Alligator mississippiensis: one gene and its partner. The protein of the gene in region 2 purifies or fractionates together with the protein of the main gene of each other region. This does not show direct contact. Links are inferred from orthologs where the notes say so. Each region holds a gene or a part of one and is shown on either strand. Other genes may lie near its edges. The genes, in order: ATF1 and ATF2.

Region 1 (11,890 bases), on a different chromosome or scaffold from region 2:
TTAGGTGTTTTCCTCCCCTTTTACATATGGGGAAAACAAAAAACAGACATGTTAGCAAGCTGCCCAAACCCACAGACTGAATCAGTGGAAAAGCCAGAATACCACCCCATGATGCTGCCTCTCAGTGCTGTGCTAAGCCTCTGAAGCCTTAACCTTTCTGCAGTTCAACTTTTTCAGGACCAATTCAGATCTATCCATTAAGTGAAAGGAAGATTATGCGCCTACCTTTTAATTCCTTTGCATCTCTGGATGCAAAGCAGCAGAAAGCAGACACTAGATTTTACAATCTATTTATTGAACTATCACTGAAAACTGTCATAAAACATTCAGCATTGTTCTCCAAGTGTAAGAGCATATTCAGTACACAAAATGTAATACTTTTAAGATCATAAAAAAAAATTAACCAGATCTGTATATTCAGAAGTCAAGGGCACCCTCCTCAGATTTTTCACTGTTTATACTTAACCATCCAACATAATTTTAATGTAAAAGCTGTAAATCAGCAGCTTTTGTGTAATGTAAAATGCATATGTTTGGATGGGGTGAGCAGGCAGACTGGATGGAGGCATTAAAAGATGATCTGTAAGCATTACATGTTTTGTCACACAAGGTTTGAAACAGTTGCAAGGGCAGTTGCTATGAGACTGGAAATTACATTTCTCTCTGTGGAAACGTGAGTCATTGATTTTTCCCTACTGAGATCAACCACAGCTCTTGCAGCTTGACGTACACGCAGAGGGTAAAAAGTCAGTAAGTGTGAAGTCTAGAGGCCTGCTCTCGCAATCCTTACTCATCTGGGGAAATTGCACTGAAGTCAACAGAACTCACTTCAGTAAAGTTGCAAGATCAGGCTCGGCAATGAGAAAACTGATGAGAGGGGAACAGTAAGTAAGATGTGTGAAACAGCACCTTCAAAAGAGAAACTAAGAATTGGTCAAATCTGACACCGCTGAGAGACAACTGGAACCTTCCAAAAATGTAAGACAGTTTATAGACACGCAGGCAGCGCCGTGAACCCTTTTTTATTTGAGTCCTAACAAAATGCACAAAACAAGGGGATATGAAAGAAGTGGTAAAAATCAGTTCTACTCTTATAGAACAAAAACATGCAGTTTGCATTTCTGTTCAGCTACACCGTGCCACTTTGCTAATAGGAAACCATCACACTGAAATTGAGTCAAATGCAAAAACACTAAAAGTAATTTCTGGCACTCCAGAAAACCCCAAGTAAATTCCTTTAGTTTTCAAGACATCATTTCTTATTTTGAAACACTCTGTCCTGTTGTTGTATGAATTGCTGCAACACAGACAAACTAACTCTAACTAAACAATTAAATGGAATAAAAACAAAGTCAATCTGAAATGCTCAAGAGTTCACTAAAAAAATATAGCAAGGCGTTTTTGCTCTTGTTGGGTGTTACCTTTGTATTTTTAGCCAGAAAAATGACTTTTAAGTTGACTGTCTCTCTAATTTCAGATAGCACTTAAAAGCGCTTATCTAACAACTGTCAATAATGAAAAGAAACAGCAAACTATTTTAACAAGCAAACAACTATTATTGTGTATTTGATTTGTGGCACTTGCATCCTCCACAGGATAAGGAAGCACAATATACTACCCAGTGACGTGCAACAAATTCTAGAGGTCTCTGCTTTGCTAAAGCAGATTATCTGTCTGGAAAACATATTGCTTTTTGCGGAAGATATTTCTAATAATATTTTTAAAAGACAGCGGTTTCTACCTATTCAGCATTCAGTAAGACCTTTACTCTCAAGGGTGAAAAACAGTTCTAATTAACAACCTCAAGCCACAAGTTTTCAGCCAAAGAATGATTTGCATACTGAGTAGGGAAAATTTACTAGCATTTCAGCTTTTAACACCACAGCCACAACTACTTCCAACAACAATAAAACATTTGTTTGGAGGAAGCCAACTACATAGTTTCGGGATGAAGGAAAAGTTTTTCATGGAACACGGAAAGCTGGAAGTAGGGAATTCGCTGCAGTGATTGGCACTGTCCAGAGGACTGATGCTTAAGACAAATAATTAGTTATTTTTATAATACTGTAGGTAGGGATGACCATTTACAAAAAAAGAAAAAACTTCCTTGAGGATCTTAGTCTAAATGAACCGACTCTGAAATCCAAGCACTGTGCAGAACACATCTGCTCCAAAGAACCAATCTTTCAAACTCATTTCTGCATTATGGTAGGAGTTTTGTTGTGGCCGTGACAGGTTCAGGGTCTATGCAAGAAGCAAGGTTTCTTTGGTAACATCTTTTACTGAACCAACCATATAGTTGGGAAAGATATTAGACAAGCGTTCAGGTACAAAGCGTCCTGCCTGAGGATTCCAACTACTGGATTTTGAAATATCTGAAGAAGCTGATCAATTTTTAAAGATCTCAAAGTTTCTCCCAAGTCAAATCTGCTACTGGTCTTACCAGGATAGTTTTAAATACTGAATGACAACATTAAAAGGGATTCAAGTATGAGTTTTGTATAAATGTACTGCACTAATTTGGTTAATTCTAATGATGTTATACTGCAGACATGAGACGGTTTTAAGGAAAAACATTCCCAAAACCCCAGCAGAAACCTCAACAGGAAAGTCCCTTTTCCACAGGCAAAGGCTGTTAAAGTCTTATACATGTTACTTGAATACTGGATACTTCAGGAGACTGTACATCCAATAGACAGCAACTGGGAAGAAACTCAAATGAAAGCTGACCTACAGCTTCCTGGAAATCTGTGAAAAGCATATGCAATATGAGAAGGAGTCCTGGAAATACAAGCCAGGAAGCTAGCAAAGAATCTTCCTTCAATATGTAACAGATGGGTCTAAGAGCCGTGCTTAGAGCTCAGGCCCCTGGCTCTGACATGTATAAAATAATAAAAATGCCACTACTCAAATCACGCACAGTACTTTTTATCAACAGATCTCAAAAGGAGGTCACTGGCATCATCTCCTTTTTACAGATGGGGAAACAGAGGCAGGGGGGTGACAGGACTTGCCCAAGGCCTCCCAACACACAAGAGGCAGAAACAGGAATAGTACCCAGGTTTCCCAGTCCTGGTCCAGTGCTTAATAATAAGCAACCCTTCCACTCCTTAAAGAAAGACAGTTCCTCTACTGAGGGCATTATGATTTAAGAACAAGAGAAGAGACAGTCGATGGCTGCAATGAAGTGGGGGGAGGAAAGAGAACAAACCCCAGGAAACAATGAAACAACCAGCACCTTTGGGAACATGCTGCAAAAAAAAAAGTGAGCACAAGAACGCTGCAGAAGAGGCAGCACAACAGTTTCCACCCCAAGGACACAGCCAACCTTTGAGCAAAAAGCAGACAGCACGAATCACAACGGAGTACTTTTCCTTATCTCCGAGTAACAGACCAACATTTATGTGGAGGGAGGGTTTCCCACTTGGAGAAACAAGACATAATGCTCTAGCCACAGAGCAACTTTTTAAGGGAGCCCCTGGGTATACCCAGAAGAAGCGATGCCAGAATTTGGATGACGACCCCACAAAAACCTTGTCTCTTGACGATTCGTAAGCCATTTCTAGACCCGGGTCTTTAAGGCTTAGCCACCAAAAAAAAAAAAAGAAAAAGAAAAAAGGATTATATTAAAACGAGCATCCTCACATTTAAAACAGAGCATTGAAAACGGCCCACCTACAAGCGTGGCGCTAGCAACATACGACACAGCTCGCTGGAAAACGAGTCACTTTGTGCATTTACTTGTTGTGTATCGATTAATACCAAGGACATCAAGGAGCTGGGGGACGTCTCCTCACCGCGGGGACGCTCGCCAACTCCTGCAAGACCATTTTTAGGCCGGACGTAAGGACAAACATCTTCACCGTCCGAGCCTGCCCACGGACGCGGTGCAAGCGCCTACTCCGGACACGTCCAAGAAACGTTTGGACGCTCGTCTCGGCGGGATCGCAGACGTCACCGATTTTCGGCTCGACCGACTAGCTCGAGTCCGATCCTTCGCGCCCGGCCGACTTCCTGCCCCTGGGGGACCCGACGGTCTTGCGGCCGCCCGAATGCCTGCGCGATCCGTAATCCCGACAAGAGAGGAGGGACTTTTCCTTTTTTTTTTTTTTTTTTAAGGTCCAAGAAACGAACCAAGCGACGCGACGGCAAACCTGGGAGCGGCGGGCGACGCCGACCTACCGTGTTCCTGACCACGAAGCCGGTGGGCGAGTAAGCCCGGCCTGCTCCTCGTTACAGATTTTCCCACCCAAACTGCACGTGGAGGCGGACGAACCAGATCCCTGGGGCGCTTTACGCCCCGACGCGAAGCGCCCCGGCCCCCTCAGGCCTGGCGGGGCGCAAACACGGCTGCCCCCCGCGCCCGCGCACCGGGGTCTGTGGCGCGACGCCCCCCCACTTCAGGAACCACCCGCACGTGCCCCGGGCCGGGCACAGCGCCGGACAAGGCCGCGGGCGCCCGGGGCGCGGACACGGCGGCTGGTGGGGCCGGCCGAGGCTTACCTCGCGAGCCCCGCGGCCCTGGCGCCGCCTCAGCAGCCCGGCGCCGCCGGCATCGTCCGCGCCGCAGGCCCGGCCGGGACTCCGCGGTGGGCGGGCCGCGACCATCGAGTCCCTCGGAGGCCCGGGCTAGACGTGCTGCCTGGCGTAGAGCGCATACCATAGAGTTCTCGAGGGCGCGTCACGGAGGAGCCGGCTAGAGCGGCTCCCTCCCAGCGTGGGAGGCGGAGCAGGCGAGTTCTGCCAGGAGGCCGAGGCTAGAGCGTCGCAGCGGGCGGCCGCCATGTTGGCTCCGAGGGCGGGAAAGCGTCTCGTTCCCCTGAGGAAGCTGCGGGTGCGGCTTCGCCTCAGTCTCAGTCTCCTCGCCACTTTGAGGTGTTCTCGCCTCAGCCTCCTCGCCCTCACCCCTCTGAGGTGTCCTCGCCTCAGCCTCGTCACCCCTCTGAGGTGTCCTCGCCCCTCTGAGGCAGCTCATGTGCGAGCCCTGCCTTGAGGGGAAAGCCCCAACCCACAGTAGCCCGTGGCTGCCTTGCTAGGCCCGGCTGAGGAGAGCATCCAGACGTTCAGAAACAGCTCAAAGCAGGGGCTGGGGCACCAGCCCGAGGCGGGCGGATGGGGACACCCAGGCGTTCGGCTGAAGGCCCGGCCGGACACGGCCCGGAGAGGCGTTGGGGTCTAACGCTGGGAAAGCAGCCTCTAGGAAATCACGGGACAAAGAAAATCCTCAAATCAAAACGGTTCGGGTTTCCGAGCAGAGGGACGGGCTTTTCTTCGGGCGGACCGTCGCCCCGCGTCCCTGCCTCTTGGGGGCGCACAAAATGGAGCCGGTTTCCTGCCGAAGTGGCGCGGCGTTGTCGTGAAAAATTAAACAGCCGCCCCGGTTTGCAAGAGAGTTCCTGTTCGCTTCAGAGGTAGGTACAGAAACTTTTCCACGTACATTACCCGTACTGTTCGTCAGCATTGGCAACCCCACAGCGTTGAGGAGGATTGCTTTATCGGCGGGTCTGAAGAGGGCCAACAAGGCCAATCCGGGATCAATAAGTTATGTTGCACCTCGGGGTAGGACGGCCATCATAGAGGACAGTCCAGGTGTCTATACTAATACGAAACCCAACGCCTTTATGGCCTCTATTTTTCCCTTGAAAAAAATCAATCAATAGCTCTTGAAGAGAAAAATAGAGGACATAAAGGCGTTGGGTTTTGTATCAGTAGAAAACAAAGTAGCAGAAAACTGAGATGTCCTCTATGATGGCCAACCTACCTTGGGGGGCATGTTTCTGTGCCCGGGGGGTGGATCTGATTTCAAAGTTATTAGGGTCAGAAGGGACCTCAGTAGGTCATCGAGTCCGACCCCCTGCTGTGGGCAGGAAAGTGTGCTGGGGTCGGATGACCCCAGCCAGGTGCTTGTCCCGTCTCCTCCTGAAGACCTCCAAGGTAGGGGAGAGCACTGCCTCCCTTGGAAGGCCATGTTTTTGCTGCTCCTGCTGTCATTGTAAGGTTTCAAAGTACTTATGTCTCTATATCACATATGTCTATGTTGTTACATGCGCTTGTGCACATTTACTGTACTTTATGAGGTCTTTCATTATACACGTGCCTTCAAGCAGTCTGAGGCTCTGTGCTGCAGTTGAACTAATGGTCTAGACCTGCTTCGTCATTAGTTCCTTGGAACATCTGACTCCGATACGGAGGCGGTTGAGACATGGTTCGTGAGCCCCTGGTGGTAAGGACTCTGCTGCTGGAACATCCTTTTTAAGCTGTCAGGTATTTTCTTCAGCATCTCATTCCCCATCAGTAGTCATGTCTCCTTGGGTGCTGATAAGGAAGCTCCTGCATGATTTCAAATGTTTGTGTGCAGCTTCGAAGCACTGAGATCCCTGCAGCAGACTCTTCCTTCATTTGGGGCTGTCCTGGGTGATAATAATATCCCACAAGTTAATGTCAATATTACTTTTTTCAAGTTGGCCTTGAGGATGTCCTTGAAGCACTCTTTGCCCTCCCTTCTTCAGCATATGTCTCAACTGAGCTGGGGAAAATAAAACTTGCTTTGGGAGTCTGGAGTCGGACGCCCAGCTATTGTGGCCAGTTTAGCGAAGATGATGTCAGATGATCATCGCCTCAATGCTCGGGGTGTTCACTTGCGAGAGGATGCTGATGTTGGCACGTCTGTCTTCCCACTGGATTCGAAGGATCTTTCATAGGCAGTGTTGATGGTACTTCTCTAGTGACTTGAAATGTTTCTAGTACGTTGTCCATGTTCAAAATTTGTGAAGACACTAAATACATTTTGAGCTTGACCATCAGGACCCTCATGGATAATCCTAATAGCGAATGCCTAGAGTTGGTCTAATAAAAGATATCAAATTCACCCAAGGAACCTTGTCTGCCTAGAGCACCACATTGCACTCAAGAACTATATTGACATAGCTGTAATGAGCAAGATGTGGTGAGTGGGAGGTGGGCAACTCAAGATTGAGGAGGCAGCTATACACTCTTCTGGAAGGATAAACAAGAAGAAAAGTGCCTACTTCACAGAGGTGGTTTTGCTATTAAGAATGAACCCAAAAACCAACTCAACAAGTTCCATGTTGGAACTGACTGCCTCATGACTCTGTCTTAAACGCACCGCTGCCATCAGCACATCTGTCCCAACTCTTGATGCTGCTGCTGAAACCAAGGAGGAATTCTATGCCAACCTTCACGAGGTCCTTTCTGACATTCTGGAGGGAGACAGACTTATTCTGCTGAGCAACTTCAATTCCAGAGTTGGAAGGGATTACTATTCCAACAGAAGAGTCTAGATAGGGGTAGGCAACCCTCAGCATGCGTACCAAAGCATGGTACATGAAGGCATTTTGCTTGGCATGTGTGCCTTGGGATGGATGACAGGGAAGGGGGCTAGGACTGCACTGCCACAAGGATCAGGCACCTCCCAGCTCCCCCTGCTGCCACTTGGCCCTGGCATGGCAACTTCTTACAAGTTGAGGTTGCGGGTTTTTTTGGCACTGCCCAAAAACATTCCTGACACTGGGTCTAGAGAGAGAACAAAAACTATAGCCATCGCTTTTGGTTAGTGCTTAAAATTTCCCCCCAAGTGCAGATTTATTATTTTATTTGCAATATGGCACAACTGTTTATTTACATTAATATACAAATGATTTTTGTATACATTTCCTTTTTTGAAGGGATTATACAGTTCTAACAGTCATGTTTCACAAATGGATAATTGCAATTTGTTAGTGATACCTGTAAAAAATTTCTCACTAAAAGAAAATTAGAACACAATACACTAATAATACCTAAACATTACCATGTGGTTAGTCTCTATGGTCTCTGTAATTGTGCCTTTTGATGCGTTCAAAATTGCACTTTCCCCAAAAGGTAACGTTCTACTAGTTTAAAGCTGCAATACTGTTCCTTTTCTTCTGTTTACATAAAGATCAGTTGATGCACTGTAGACAGTGCAAACAAATTGCACAAGAGAATGAAAAGCCTCAGCAACTGGCCTGACAGGTTGCTGAAAGAAAAACTTCCAGTTGAGAGAACTTATTTAAACAAACAGGTAAGAATTAAAATAGACCTTATATTTTGAGAGCCTCTCTGAACAACTCAATTTCACAACATTTCATACTCAAGAAATCGCTTGTCAAAACAAGAATAAAAGCATTTAATTTTATTTTGCAACTGAAATATGAAAAATGGAATCAATGTACAAAACAGACATGAATAAAGCAAACATTGAATACTGTCACAAAACTTGTATGTAATATATAGCAGTGGTTAACTCAATCTCAGCACAGCTTAATTAGCGTAACATACCAAAGCAAAAATATCTTATGTCCATTAGACTGGTATATTTGCGTGTCTGTAATAAAACATGTAATTTTAAGCAATTCGTGCTACTTTGGGGTTTTTTTTTACATTAGCATTATTTCAGTACGGGTTAAAATAAAAAGTTATACCACTGAAAATGGACAAAGTTTAATGTTAGCCTCACCGCATAATAACTGCAGCTTACATTAAGAGTAAAGATCAAACGTGTAAATGTTGCAATATCTCTCGGCTAGAGTTCTTGATAATCTCAGGATGAAACGCAAGTATAGATTACCATTTTTATCTACACAAATATTTCAGGAGTGAATGAGAGCTACAAGTAAAAGCTGTACAGTACTAACAGGTAATGTTCCCTTTCTCTTCACAGTGATCCTTTCACAGCTACATTTTGGGTCCTAGTCAGAGTTTAGCCATTTACTGTAATGGAAGCAGGCTAAGCGTGATCCAACTAATCACTGAAGTCAGTGGGAATCTTTCCAGTGACTTCAATGAGTGTCAGTCAGGCTCTTAAATGAGATTTAGTTACATTGCATAGAGGGTAAATGACTTGTACTTTGTACATACATAAACCACACAGTATACAGCTTCCAGCTACGCGCAAATCAAAAGAATTCCAGTGATAACAGGGTAGCCATGACAGCAAAGGTCTCATACTGATGTCATCAGAACCTTGAAGAGCGTCATCTTTCCACTTTTGTATTATATAGTTATATTAGTTTGATATTTAATATATTCAGACATTTCACAAGAATTGATTTATGAACACTTTCCACTTTTAATTTTTTGTAGTTTTTTAAAACACTTGCTTTAACAAGATATACCGAAATGCTTACATTTTCATTGTCTGAGTTTCAAAACTAATCAATGTCTAATCAGTTTCACCTATTCAGTTTTGAGTAACTTTATTTTCCTATACTAACATTATGTGGTATTGTATTAGTAGAGAGGCAGGTTTGTTTTCTAAAAAATTCTCCAGTAAAATTTTAATACAATGGAAATATTTTACTGGGAATAATTTTCTTCCTTTCAAAAAGTCTCTTAAGTTTTGGCTTACATTTGACATGACAGTAATGATTTCCATTAAAATCTTGTATGAAAATATTCCTTGTGTTACCATTTTATATATAAACTTGATTGTAAAAGTTTCTTCTGTTTTAAGAAGAAAGCATTAGGGTTTTGAAATGTCTAGTCTCTTGAGGTAATTATAAATCAGCTTGTTGCTATGTGGTTGCTGCAGAGGTTGGATTGCAGCTTCGAAGTGACCAAACCAGCAGAAACCCAAGGTTTGGCCATTATGTGCTACAGTCCTGTTGTGAAAAAACCATAAATAAGTTTGAAGATTTCCCTCATATTCCCTGGAGCATGTAGGTACAGGTACAGCTGCAAAACCAAATTTTTGAAGACATGCTAGGAATGAAGTCTCTCCAGCCAGAAAATTAGCTGGTAAGAAAGGCTGTCAAATTGAAAAAACCTCTTGACACATTTCCAGGTTCGCAATAGTGGTTTGGGTCACTGAAAAGTCTCTTGGCACACTGCCATTTTGCTCATTTCACTATACTTAGCAGGAGGCAAACTCCAGAGTAATAATCTTTATAGTGCTGGTCACGGGCAAGGTTCATGATACTTCTACTCTTGGACCAGCTCTATAACACTATACAGATTAGCATCTGTTAGGTGTGAAATAAAACAAGTATTGTGTATGGTATTCACTTTGTCCTAGAAAACCATAGCTGCTAGTGATCTCTAAAACACAATTATCTTCCACTTTTGCAACCCTTGAAATGTTCCCCATTTTAAGATTAAATTTATAAATACGGTATAACATTTCATATGCAGTTTTAATTTTGTTTTAAATTAAGTTCTAATTTCTTGAAACAAGCCATAATTCTAAACTACTACCTTAATCTTTTAGGCAATAGATTTGCACATATGCACCCTCTACTATCTCTACAAAAAAAAAGAATGAGGAACATGGAACCACGTTTATACCATTTATATATATAATTTTTTAAGAAAAATAAATTAATTATTGCAAACACTGGCATTTATACACATGCTCCAGGAGGTAGGGAGGGGGGCATTTTAATTTAAGTGGCTCTGAGAGTTGCAAATACCAATAGTTAAAGTGTATTAAATAACCCAAGCGCACTTCTTGAAAAGTGTAATTTAAAAGTTAGAAAGGAATGAAGGCAACAATTAAAAATAAAATAAAAAGGTTAACAGGTTCTGGCCATTGCAGTTTAACTGGATGCCCACATGACTCAGGACTCTGGTAAATTAATTTTGTTACCATCTATATTTACATAGCTATACTCCCCCATCTAACACCAAAACTGAGTAAATCTTTGTGAACCCAAATGTGGAAGAAAGTTACAAAAATATCATAAATTGTTTACTGCATTTAGGTTGTATATTAAACTAAGCTAAAAGTATAGGAAACGCTTCCTGGACAGGGTATTTCTTCACACAGAAACAAGGAACCAGGGTAAGACTGCTGTTTAGAATTTATGGAAAAATATATGTGTGTGTGTGTGTGTGTGTGTACACGTGCGCGCACGCGTGCACAATGGCTAGGTAAAGTTGGGTTTATAAAAATATATTAATTATATTCTTACTGTTCCAAAGTATTTCTTAAGTCTACAGACATTTGAAGATGACATCTTTCAACACAATTCCCATTGTTAAATTCTGACAGCAGAATTATATAGTGTTGAATCTCAGATAAGGCCAAGCTTCCTACTTTGTCATCTTACTGGAAAGCCATATATAATTGCTTTTCCATAGTCAGCAAATTCAAATCCTGGCTAAAATTACAAAAGCTGGCTGGAGGCTTGTGTCATTCCTCATCTAAATCTTAAGATTAAGGCCACAAATAACATAACATTCTTTCAGACTTTATTGCTATATTTGTCTTGTACGTGAATCAATGAGTTCCCCCCCTTTAGTGACATAAAGAAGTGGAGATAATGGGCATAAAAATGTGGCTTGTGAATAAACAGGGTCACCAAAGTCAAGGAAGAAGGGTCTGTAATGTTCAATGATGTCAATTATACTTAGTGAGAAAACAAATTCCCTTAACGGTTAATAGAACCATCTAAGTCAAACCTCTATATGGCTTAACTGACATTTAGGGGAAAATACAAAGTTGCTGCCCTAAAAAAATTTAAAAGTCCAGATTTCCTAAAACTCAACAAAGCATGGAAGAGATGCTAAAAACACATGTGGTCCTCAGGCTGCATATAATGAGAGCACCTTCCAAGTACATAATCATAACAAAGTTCACTTACATGATGCATCTTTGTCAATCAGAAGGCATGACAGGTCAAGCTTTATTTGACAAATGTATTCACAAAGTGCAGTGAAGCTGAATATTCAGTGTTTGAAAAGGCTGTGCGAATGGCTGATGCACCACACAGGTAGGATAAAGGAGCTTGGAACACAGCTCTTCTGTTCTGGTGAAGCATGTTCCACGGGCACACATTTCTAGATAAACTAGGATCCAAAACTGTAAATGTTAAGGGGGTGAAAGACCCTCCGTTTCAAAATGCACATCTTA
Region 2 (11,841 bases):
GCGTAATGACTGATCTACTTTTAAAAAGTTTTTAAAATAAACTCTGCTTTCGTTCATCTCTGTTCCTATAAATTTCTAGGACAAAGTTAGACTAGTACCATGCACTTCTGAAAGCCTTAACTTTCATTTTTTTTAATTATATAAGATTGTACCTGGAAAAATCTCACAAATTATTCTGCTTAACTAAAAGTAAAAAATAGTATTTGCAGTTTAAAGAAAATGTCACAACTATACTGACCTGGATGAGGCTGGAACAGCTTTTCTCAGTTTCCTAAAACACAGAAGAGTTGAAACAAAATAAGTACTTACTGCTTCCCATTTAAAAAAAAAGTCATTATTAAAGGAATGTCCAAACCTCTAACTCTAGAGACATGCTGTGTCTTACTATCATAAGATTTGAAATACAAAAGTGGAAAGAAGTGGTCAGGAATTTTTAAAAATATATATGAAAAATGGAGATTTTCACTACTTGCTAATTACACTTCTACAACCTGACCATAGGATTTTTATTCAATTTCAAATTTACTAGGCAGAGTAATCATTACTGGTTTCCAACAGTTATTCTCCTGTCAGCTACAGGGTCTTTAACAGCTAGCTCCCGTGCATTTTTTTTTCCAGCACAGGACAGAAGAACTGCTCTGAGACTGTGGGAGAAATTGGAGGGGGGCTTCAATGCTGATTTCTCTAGTGTTTCAGAATCCTTAAACAAGTGGATCTTCTGAACCAGGTTCTGCCGCTGCAGAGGAAAGACCATTGAAGCCTGTGAGCCTGGAAGAGGTGGATGGGATTAATTTTGAAATACTAGCTGTCATGAAGAGTGCTCAGAAGACCGGCATTACAAGCTATCTACCTCAAGAAGTCAAAGCATTTAACAGTGACTGCCCGGACAAAATGTGAGCAGAGGGCAGAGAATTTACCACCTGAAGGAAAAGAAAGCCAGAGACTGCTAGCATGCTGCTGCAACCACGTGCCTTGCTGCAAGAGAGCTTTTTGCCTGCCCTGGGAAGAAGATTTGAAACCTGTGCCTGTTCCAATGGATCACAGGGAACAGTAAGATGGAAGGTAATAATGCAATAGCATGAAGATATCGGGGTACGTATAACCACAGGATTTTCTGCCTAACAGTCGGTTGACTGAGGCATGAGGGCCAAAGGCACCTGCCTAGCTGAGGCAAAAGATAAACTGAGGAAAACAGTGGAGTCAGCCTATAGAATGAGTGCAGCTGGACAGGAAGAAAAAAAATTGAAAGCTGGTGATTAGTTACTCTGCCTACCAAGTCGAAACACAAGAAGGAACCTACCAATATTTGTCCTATCAAACGAACAAGTGCAAAAAACTCCAGCTTCCAAACCCAGCACTGGCAGCAAAACTAAAGGACTAGGGCATGTGCAGAGAAACAATGAAAATATATCTTTGGTAAAAGAGGGACAGAGCTGAAAAGGAAGATGAAGGGTCTCTGTGTGAACAACCAATAGAAAGGCCATTACTGTTCTTATTATAAGGGCTTACTTCTCATGCTCATGCAAAAAACAAAATCAAGCTGAAACTATGAATCAGATAAAAGGTCAAACAAATGAAAGTTTCAAAAATGAAACAGAAAGTGGGTGCAAAAATGAGATTAAAAGAAAAAGATGAATAAATAAATGTACGTATTAAATTTTGTTCAGAACATTTGTTTACTGAAGCTACTAGAATCACTGACATCAACTTATGATAAAGACTAAAAGATAAACAGGGTCTGAAAATATAAAAATAATTTAGTTCTGCAAGAATAAAAAATCATTTTGTTTGTTTCTCAATATATCCATTGCTTTTGGAAATGGGGAGATAGGTAACATTTTGATGCAAATAAACACTCCTGAACATCTGCAATATAGAACCATCACACTAGGAGAGGCTTACATTCTTCAAAACAGATTGGCAAAGTCCTTCAAAAAGTAATCAAAAATATCACTTGAACAATCTTCCCAAAAATGTGCTGTGTCACTTGGACTATCTGATGGAGGGTGCAATCATGTTAGTCTAAAATGAAATTAACACAGGATACTGTTGGAAACAATGTGACACAAACTTGAAAAGTCTCATAATATTCTCTCACATTAATATGATTATACTATAATTGATATCTTTAAAAGTTCTATCTCCTATTTGAATATACATTGATACCCCATCCGTACTTCAGTTAACTATGAGGCAAACAGTTTGAAATCCAATCACTTTTAAAAAGACGAATTAGAAGTTGTTTGAGGGAACAACCCCATTGCTTTCAAGTCCTGTTTTGCTGCTTTTCACTCATATTTTTGTTTTATTTTTATGTGAAAAAGCAGGAACTGAATTAATTATATTTGAAGACCTGTCAGATTGGTAACAGAAAACTAAAAAAAACCCCTCTAATTTCTTTAGTATTTTAGTTGCATTTATCTTTGATCTTGCCTGTGAAAATAATAAAGATATGTCTGAAAGAACTGTAATTTCTAGGTTAACAACATCCCACTAATACAAAGACAGTCTGTACTTCAGAATATATATCATTTCCATTCTTATTTATTAAGTTCTAGAATAACATTCAAAATCTCTGGTAAAGATTGGGTTTTGTTGAGCTAGAGGTACAAATAAGTAGGAAAGCAGTCCTAGCCCACAAAAACTTAAGAGTCTACTTTACAAAAAAATGCAACAAGTGGGTGTCACCACAACAGGGAAGGATTGGTGGTGGAAAACAGGTAAAAGTAATATGACCAAACATTTAAGGTGAGTTGTGTACACCACACAGTGCTTGTTCCAGTGCAAATTTTTTGTGGCAACTTTACATGTTAAATGTTTTTAAAGTGGTGTAGGGACAAGCTGAGCTCAGAAAAATCAAAACCAAGACGACACCAAGTGCGAATGAAAGATGCATCTTTCTGGATCCATGCCTAGGTATCCATATGCAATTAACACAAAGAAAAACAGACTAATGTCTTATAATGGAACAGGACCTTGGCATAAGCACACCTGAATCATACCTGAATGACAAAAGTCAGTAGAATACAGTATTACCTAAGTGTAACCTTTATAAGACACAGAATGTGCTGCGGAGATGTAGAAATGGAAATACAACCAAAAGATTTTATATAATCAAATCATACAGCATTTCTGAGTAGGAAACAGTACTCAGAAGATATAGTTCACCTATAAAATCCAGAACAAATACACCAAGAAGTTTATATTACTGCTCTCTGAATCAGGCTATAATAATGACCTATTATTGTGCAATATTAACTACCCAAATATAAACTCATCAGTGAACATGGTGACTCACTCCACTTCTCCAAAAATGTTATTTCATTAATGTTATTTCTGTAATTAATGATCATATTTGCCAATAAACTTTTATGGAACAGGGAACCCCAGTAAAGTTTTCTTTGGACCAGGTTGCAGCGAGACCCTTATATTTTGTAATATGCTATGTACCCGCATAGGTACTTAGCTTTACTACTGTGACTAGTTCAACCAAAATCAATGAGACTATTCTTAGTAGTAACCTTAAGCAGGTGCATAAGTGCATATAAATGTGAGTAAGTCTCTCTAAACAACCTGTACAAAACATCCTTCAATAAATGGTTCAAGATATTATATTCTGGAAAACAATTACGGAAAAAATGACCATACAGAAGCTTTCTTTCTTATCCCATCATTTAAATAGTGATTTATGCTCTAAAGCAGTGGCACTCAAACTTGTTAGACTCAAAGCACCCCTTGAAAATGTCAGCTCTTAGCCTTTACTTGAAAAGGCCAGAAAAACAGAATCATTATTCTATTTCAAAGAACTGAGAAAGACCAAAACAGGCCAAAACGTTTAGGACACGATGGGTACATCCAAATGAGCACAGTCATATGGTATATGGTGCCGCAAGCACATTTGCAGCACCACATACCATACAGTCCAGCATTCTTTGTGCTGCAAGGGTGCACTGCCTGAATGTGCGCTGCTCCATTTTTTTTCATTGTGGGGTTTTTTTGACCCCTAGATATCCAGGGGTAAAAAAACAAACAAACAAAAAAACCCAGAAAAAAACTTGAAGCAGTACATGCTCAGGCAGCATGCAGCGCAAGGTCCGCTACCAAACTTCCATGCACAGCTGGACTCGCTCTACGAATTCTTATTTAAAAACCTCAAGGTTTAGCTTATGAATCACTTGTAGATACTTGCATATCTAACCATGCTTGTATGTGGCAACTTGAAAAGTATCTCATGGTGCCCTGGTTGAGGATCACTGCTCTAAAACACAACAATTTAGAACTCAGATCACAACAATATTTTTCATTAGCCACATACATGATAAGTCCAACCTAACTTATTCAACTCAAATAGCTTGAAGCAATAAAGTGGGTGCTTGCCACGATTCATTCACAGGAGCATGGGAAGGAAAAAAACAAGATTTGGCTAATGGAAGGTCGAAGGCCGCACCCAAAAAGCCTCATTTATTTAGAGGACAAAGATAATCTTGTGTGTGTTAACTGGAAGGGCAAAGAAAGAGCAGAATATCTTTATTTCAGAAATGAATGAACTGCTTGAGGAACAGAGAAGTGAACCACCCGTGTGCAATGGGGCAAGTCCCTTTCGGGGTCAGGGTTGGGGGTGAAGAGGTTGGGGCAAGAAGGGAACGGGAGGCAGGAGGTGTGACAGCTCCAGCCCCGCAGCTTGCCAGCCCAGCAGCACAGGAAGCCTGAGGGAAGATCCGCAACGTGGGAGCACCGCAGCTTGTCATCACCCCGCCGCCGACCCCAGCTCTTGCAAGAAGTCCCCGGGCAGAGCGGAAGAGAGCGACACCTCGCAGAGTAGCGGGGCGTCGGGGCCAGGCAGGTAAGACACTCACCGGCGCATCCCCCGCAGGGCCGGCCCGGCGGCTCCCGCGGAGGGCGCAGGCCCCCACCGCCCGGCGGATGCAGGTGAAGCCCGGCCCGGCCCGTCCCATCCCCAGGGCCCGCAGCGCTTCCGGGTAGGGGGCGACAGGCTCGCCCGGCCCGGCCCCCCCCCGAGCGACCCTCCTCCGCGGGCGGTCGCTGCCCCGGGGACGGCGGGGCAGGGCCCGCGGTGGGGGAGGGGGCCCCTCCGGAGAGCGGCGGCGGCGCCATATTACTACCTCCCGGGCACCCCCGCCTACCCGGGGCCGCTCCCCGACCGCAGACCGGGCCCTGCAACGCCCGCGCCTCCCCGTCGCCTGCGGGAACGAAGGCACCACTGCCGCGCCCGACCCGGCCCGCGCTCTGTTTACAAACTCACCCCCGGAGCACGGCCCGAACCGCACATTAAAGCCCAGGTCCCCCACAGGCTTCCGTCACATCTCGCGAGACCTCGCTGACATCTCCCGAGCGCTGCTAGGGGAGCTGGTCACGTGACACCGCGATGGGCAGAGAACCCAGCCCCTCTCCGATTGGCTGGCGGGGGCTGGGCGCGCGGCGACACCGGACTTGTCTGTGTGGCCGGAAGCGCTGAATGACTGGGTGTGGCTGGAGCTGCAGCGCGTTTGCTGCCGCAAGCTAAGCAGGAACTGCGCTCGCTAGTGTGTGGATGGGAAACCAAGACTGCACCTTTTGTGCTTGAGGCGTTGCTTTTTAAAAATAACAAACAAAAAAACCTTTAAGGCTTAGTACTGAAAAGATAGATTGAGGTTGAGTTCATCAGATACAGCAGGGGCTCCTTTATTCCCACCCCCCAAAAATCACCCACCCTCCCATTCCTATTTAACTAGCCATCCCCACCTTCCCGTCTCCCTCCAAAAGGATTGCTGCATCTTTCTCTACCCTATGCCTCCGTTCCCCCTCGACCTATGCTAGTGCCCCTTTTCTCTCATCACACAGGTTTTGTATTTTCTCTCCAGTGTTAACTGCACCTGTGAATCTTGTGGCCTCTTTCCAGATACCCAGCTTAGGTCTCTGGCCTCCCATCATCACTTGCCTTCCTTTCCCTCTTCCCCCAGCAGTTCTAAGGCAATTCCATCCTGTGACCAAGTTCAGTTTGGCCCCTGGAAATCCAGAGATTTCCAGGGACACCGGCAGCTTCAACCCCTGACCAGGCAGCTTTCACAGAGCAGAGTACTGCCCTATTTGTTTAATACAATGCCAGAGAAAACTTTACATAAAACAATTGACAGTTTATACCTGGAGTAAGCTTGTTGGGTATTACCCATCCTCTCCCTAGCTGCCTAGCAGATACAGCATATAATTTTGTAGACTCCTTGTTCCATTGTGCACATTATCCTCCCTTTCTATAGCCACGGCTTAGTTTGCAGACCTTTGTCTTGCTGGGCCTCCTGAACCTGTACAGCCAATTAATGATATTTCCCTCCATAGAATGAAGTTTCCAAGGGCTGGGCATCTACACAATTACCACTGGCAAATTGCATCAACTACTTTCCCCAGATAGGGAAGCTATGAGGAACACAAAAATACATTTAAAACTTAGGACAAACCCTTTGGGTGGTAGATACAGTAATACAATCAATCTCAAGACAACAGCTTGCGATTTCCTTGTGGCTTCTGGAATATTGCACCTGCAATTGCTCCACCCACCAGAGATCCCCGTGCCCCTCAGTCCAGAATCTCTTTCCCCACATGGCAGGGGCTGTGCATGTATTTAAAGCAAGAGAGAGACAAGGGGCCCTGGGCAAACGTACATCTTATATCAAGTTTCTCATCAGTAGATTTCAAAGTGCTGCACAAGGGAGAGATCAGTACCATTATGCCCCCTCCCCCTACCATATAAGCAACATCAGTTGGCACGTCTAAAAAAAGATGAGTTTGATCTAATGTAATAATGAAATACCATTACATAATTTTGTTTTTTGAAATTTCCCCCAAAGTTTCCATTGGAAAATTTCCCCCAAAGTTTCCAGTGGTGCTGGCTCCTACCCTGGGGGTCTTTAAGGGGTTAGACGAACACCTTTTTCCTGCACCTTTTTAGACGAAGTACTTTTTCCTGCCATGGCAGGGTGTTGGATTTAATGATCTGCTCAGGTCCCTTTCGACCCTACCAAATATGAAACTATATGATTGGACAGGAAACAGAAAACAGAGCAGCAGATCAGGGAGGGGAAAGGGTGCAAAGTAGCACTTGGGGAAGATGTGAGGCTAATTTGTGGCACACTTGTCAAAAAGATTGTCCCCCCCCATTACTCCAGGGCGTGGAATATATCTTAAATTGTATTGAGGGTAAAGCAACAGATTTGTCCTTTTCAAACTATTTTAAGAATTAGGAATACTAGGAGAAAGGGCATATTATATAAGCAGGCCCTTTATATAATAAATCATTATTGATTGTAAATGAGTTTTGAAGGATTTGGACTCTGAGGTAATAGAGAGCTTATGTCTTTCAACTACATACTTCCCGTCTTCCAAGAGCTTAAAAAAAACCTCCTCACAGTGCCAAATACTAAAGGAATGGCATTGAGTATGTTTTAAAATTATTAATCTTATTTTAAACAGAAGTCAGAGATATATTCTCTAACATCTTTAAAACAATGATGCTGGATACCAAGGAGGGTAACACATAGGATAGATTGTTCTAGATATACCAACTTCAGTGCTGTTCCTTTAACACAGTGATTGTCAACCAGGGGGCTAGGGCATCCTAGAGTGCCACAAGATCCTTTGAAGGGTGCCCCAGAAAGTGTGAGGAAATAAGCAGGTAATGACAAGCTCAGATTGCAAATGTAAGAAGATAAACAAATAAGGGCATCACTCTGCATAGCCACATCACCATTCCCATTGTCTGACTCCTCTGCAAGGAGGTAAGCACTGTAATAAATTAGTTTTTGAAGTGGGATGCCAATAAAATCAAAAAAGTTATGCAGAGATGCCTCAAATCTTACATGGGGTGCCTTAAATCTAAAAAGTTGAGAACCAGTGTTCCAACACACACATTTTGGTGACCGTCAGACACAGGCTACTGGGTTAAATGGATAATTGGCCTAACCCAGTATGACACTTACTGTGTTCTTGTTAGGTACTGGTTGTTATCACATGGGTTGCAGCACCAGTTACAATGAACTATGCCCTTCAAATCTAGGCCATTTTGAGACAAGGGAAAGGTAGCTATATGCTCAAGGGCAATGGGGAGAAAACAAGGAACAGGAAAGAAAGAGGGCAGAGAGTGAACACTAAGAATGAGGAAAGGATGAGGAAATTTGGATCCATCCAAAGTTAAAGCTGACTTTAGTGGCAGCAGTATTTCCACTGAGGCAGGGCTGAGAGTCAGTTGACTTATGATTTATTATAATCTACCTGATTCCTTCTAAACTTTTCATTCAACAGATGTTAACAACTCTTTTTTTAATGGTCTTGACAGCTATCCTTTGTTCTGCTTTCTCTTAGGAGCTTCATTAGCAGGAGCAGCTATTTCACAACCCTGCAGATTGTTTTTAACTCATTCCAATTAATTTAAGATTGAAGGAAAAACAAATGCAACTTAATACAGGCCCAGGCCCCTACCATATTAAAAGGAAACTATATGCTTTACTACCAAGAGAAAATTGTGTTTTATATGTGATGATACACATCACTTAGTGTGTACTTTGTACAGGTAGTTTTCTCCAGGAATGACTAGATTATGGCAGGAAGAGATGTTTTTGGAGGGTCAAAGTTAGCAGAACAGTATGTGCATTAAGTTACACCCTTCAAGTGACTGCAAATACTTTGAGCTTTCAAAACAATCATTTCTGAAAGTCTGCAAGTATCTGGCCCTCTGGTTCTAAGCAAGGAAAGCAATATGATCAAACTCTTTCACATTGGTGCTATTATCAAAGTTACTGTTCAAGAACCTCCCAAGCCTGAAAGAGCCCATTTCAAAAAAAGGGGTCTAGAATTTTTGTTCTTGTTAAGTTTCCACCATTGCCCTGACTTCACCATAACAAACAAATTGTCTGTTGCCTGTACGCTGAAGCAATTTGACTTCATGTTTTGTAGCAGCTATGAAGCAATGTTGTCATTTGTAGATTGCTTAGATCCTTAGATGTGCAATAAGCCTCAGCATGTATAAAATGGCAATACTAACCACTAAATCAGACGTTAGATTAGCAATAGAAAATGCTGGTTTTGGTAACAGCTAGGAGCCTTCTTTGGGACTTTCAGTGTTATCTGAAGTCATTACAAATTTCATAAACTTAAGAAATCTCTTTTAGATTTGAAGGCCAAAGTGGTAGACACACAGCATTTAGACTAAAAAGGTGACATGCAGCATTGTGACCAAATAGAGAACACCACTTTTGTTCTGTTCTACATTGTGTGGCTGGAGGTCAGCATATGAGCACTCAGTGTTAAGGGGAAAATCAGAAACAAGTGTCTAACAGTTCCATCCAAAGTGTTCGAATTAAAGATGAAGGTCATAGCTAGACAGTTAGAGATAGTCTTTAATGACATGACTTTGGAAATAATGTACATTTCCACAACACCAACATTTTGAGAGTCCCGGCAAGATGCACAGAATTACATTTGTAATTTACTAATGCCAACATCACAAGCAGATCTCTCTTCACATGGCAAACAGGATTAAGAAAGCAACCATCAGGCAGAAGAGACCCATAGCTTCAGACAGGGCAAATCCCAGGATAGCATATGAGAACAGCTGCTGCTTCAGAGAAGGGTTTCTAAAAGAGAATGCATGAGAGGTATTAAATGCTTTATATTTATGAAGATGCAACTCAAGTATCATTTGATAAATTTAAAAAGTTGTGGTTATGATGCAAGTTTTACAGAACGCTATAAAAGTGTCATAGCAGACAAAACAAAAAAAGAGAGACAAACTACACCTATACAAAAGGTAACATTAGTATCACTGTTACAGGCACTTCATTGAAGACTACATTAAGATAATGTAAGCTACATATCACTAAATTTGATTCTGAAATTAATGTCCAATTATAGAACAACCCTAAATTCCCTTTTATATTAAAAAAATTCACAACATTTTTACACCACTCAATTACAACTGAAAAAGCCTAGCCTGTGTAGGCTTCATGTCAAATATGCTCACCAGGAGAAAGAAAACCACCAGGTAGGGAATATCAGCTCAGGTTTTCTTGTTAAATTCCACTTGTGTACAGTACAGGAAGGAGTTCATTTGCACAACCAGACCTATCCTGAATACCTTTGCAATATTTTAAGCAGCTTGTAAACAAGCTACGCTGTTCAACTCTCTCCCTAGCCAAGATGGCGTTATCAGGTTCATTTGTTACGAAAATGCAGAGTATCTCCCTAGAAAGTATGGGAAGGAGAATATTTAAGTTTTTAATGGATTACCACCCTGCAAGTTGTGATGCAAGAGCGAGAAGTACCTCCATGAACTAGAGATCATTTTACACTTCTGCCAGTTACCAGTTGCAGTTTGAACATATTACTGCATGGGTACAATTGTGCATTTGCTAGATAACTAGGGAAAATTAGATTTGCCCCTCTTAAAGGATTTTCCTCTTCTCAAGCTTCTGCAGCAAGGTCTGCTATCCAACATCAGTTGGTTGCTATGGAACTAATTGCTACAGTAAAGCTACAATGTTGAAGCTGGCACATTAAGTAGAAGATATGCTACAAAGCTGTAGTGAGAATCCACATCTAAAAGAACCCTGATAATTGGGAGAAAGGGGCATAAAATCAAATTAGATATCAACATCCATCATCTAATCTGTTCCTCTAATAATGTTGGGTGTTCACTACAGAATGTGAAGTCGCTCAGTCTAGATTTGTGTTTCTTTTCAGTGCCAATTCCAGCTTTGAAAAAGTGAGAGTCTGATTTAGCTAGTCAGTGGCCACATTCTACACATGTCCCTATGACACCTTTGTTACTGCGCCATCATTTAATACTTTCTTTTGGAAGTACTAAATGACGGCACAGTAACAGCCCATACTGCGCCATGTGCGCAGTTATTTTTAGTTGCCATGGTGACAACTTCAATGTCCCGGTTTGTGACTGCTGATGCTATATCACTGTAGTGCAATGACATGTGTAGATATGCCCAGTTTGCCTTAAGTAATCACTGAAGGTCTACATATACCAGAGTTTGAATCTTACCAATTCAGGACTCAGAGCCAGCTTCATTGGATACACTGCCACTACATACTATTCCATTTATCCAAGAGTATCATAAAAGCTATTTAAGAACAATATATTGGAGTTCCATTTCAGATAAAGCTCTACTACACCAAAGAACTTCTACAACTGGTATCAATGCAACAACACTTCAAGCATAGTATTTTTCACAGAAGGAAAAAAAAAAATTACCTGGCATAACCAATAATTAGACTACCAAAGACGGTTCCAATACCAGCACCAGAACCAGCCACTCCTACTGTGGCAGCACCAGCACCAATAAATTTAGCAGCAGTGTCAATGTCCCTGCTGATAGCACTAGTCTGGAACTCTCTAAGTGCTAGTTGCAATACAGTGTTCTGCGCCCCATTAAGAATTGAGTTACCCTAAGAAAGAAACATGAGAGACATTTAAAGTTCAGTCAGACAATATATTTTACATATTTATTTTGAGGTATTCTGTATTTTGAGGTATACTGTGGAACTAGAGTTAAGAAATACTACGTGCAAGAGTAATTAGTGATTTAAAAATTATGACTATAAGTGAAACACTTGAATATGGTACTTAAAGAATCAATGGCAAACAAAAAAACCCTCAAAGAGCAGAGGGGGAAAATGGAGCATGACAGCAAAATGTATTATCTTCAGGTGCCCTTTTTAAAGGGAGTCGCATTTGAATCTAGGATTAGTATACTTAGGCTCACCAGGCAGTTTTGAGTTTTTGTTTTGCAACTGAGTTTTGTTTAAATCAAGATACCTCTTCAGTCCGGACCTCTGGCCTAG

What was found.
Region 1: the proteins of ATF2 (region 2) and ATF1 purify together in Homo sapiens (affinity purification with mass spectrometry; 3 studies listed by BioGRID and IntAct, with this or other methods). This does not show direct contact. The link is inferred for Alligator mississippiensis from reciprocal best matches to the Homo sapiens genes ATF2 and ATF1.

Annotation. Positions count from the first base shown.
Region 1 is NC_081838.1:6,159,301-6,171,190, reverse strand, and holds the start of ATF1 (cyclic AMP-dependent transcription factor ATF-1), read right to left. Parts: upstream 4,624-11,890; 5' UTR 4,609-4,623; coding exon 4,504-4,608; intron 1-4,503.
Region 2 is NC_081827.1:209,820,846-209,832,686, reverse strand, and holds the start of ATF2 (cyclic AMP-dependent transcription factor ATF-2), read right to left. Parts: upstream 5,362-11,841; 5' UTR 5,264-5,361; intron 272-5,263; 5' UTR 239-271; intron 1-238. Other genes in the region: ATP5MC3 (ATP synthase F(0) complex subunit C3, mitochondrial), read right to left, coding at 9,509-9,623, 11,252-11,445, 11,816-11,841. UniProt on the Homo sapiens protein: Transcriptional activator which regulates the transcription of various genes, including those involved in anti-apoptosis, cell growth, and DNA damage response.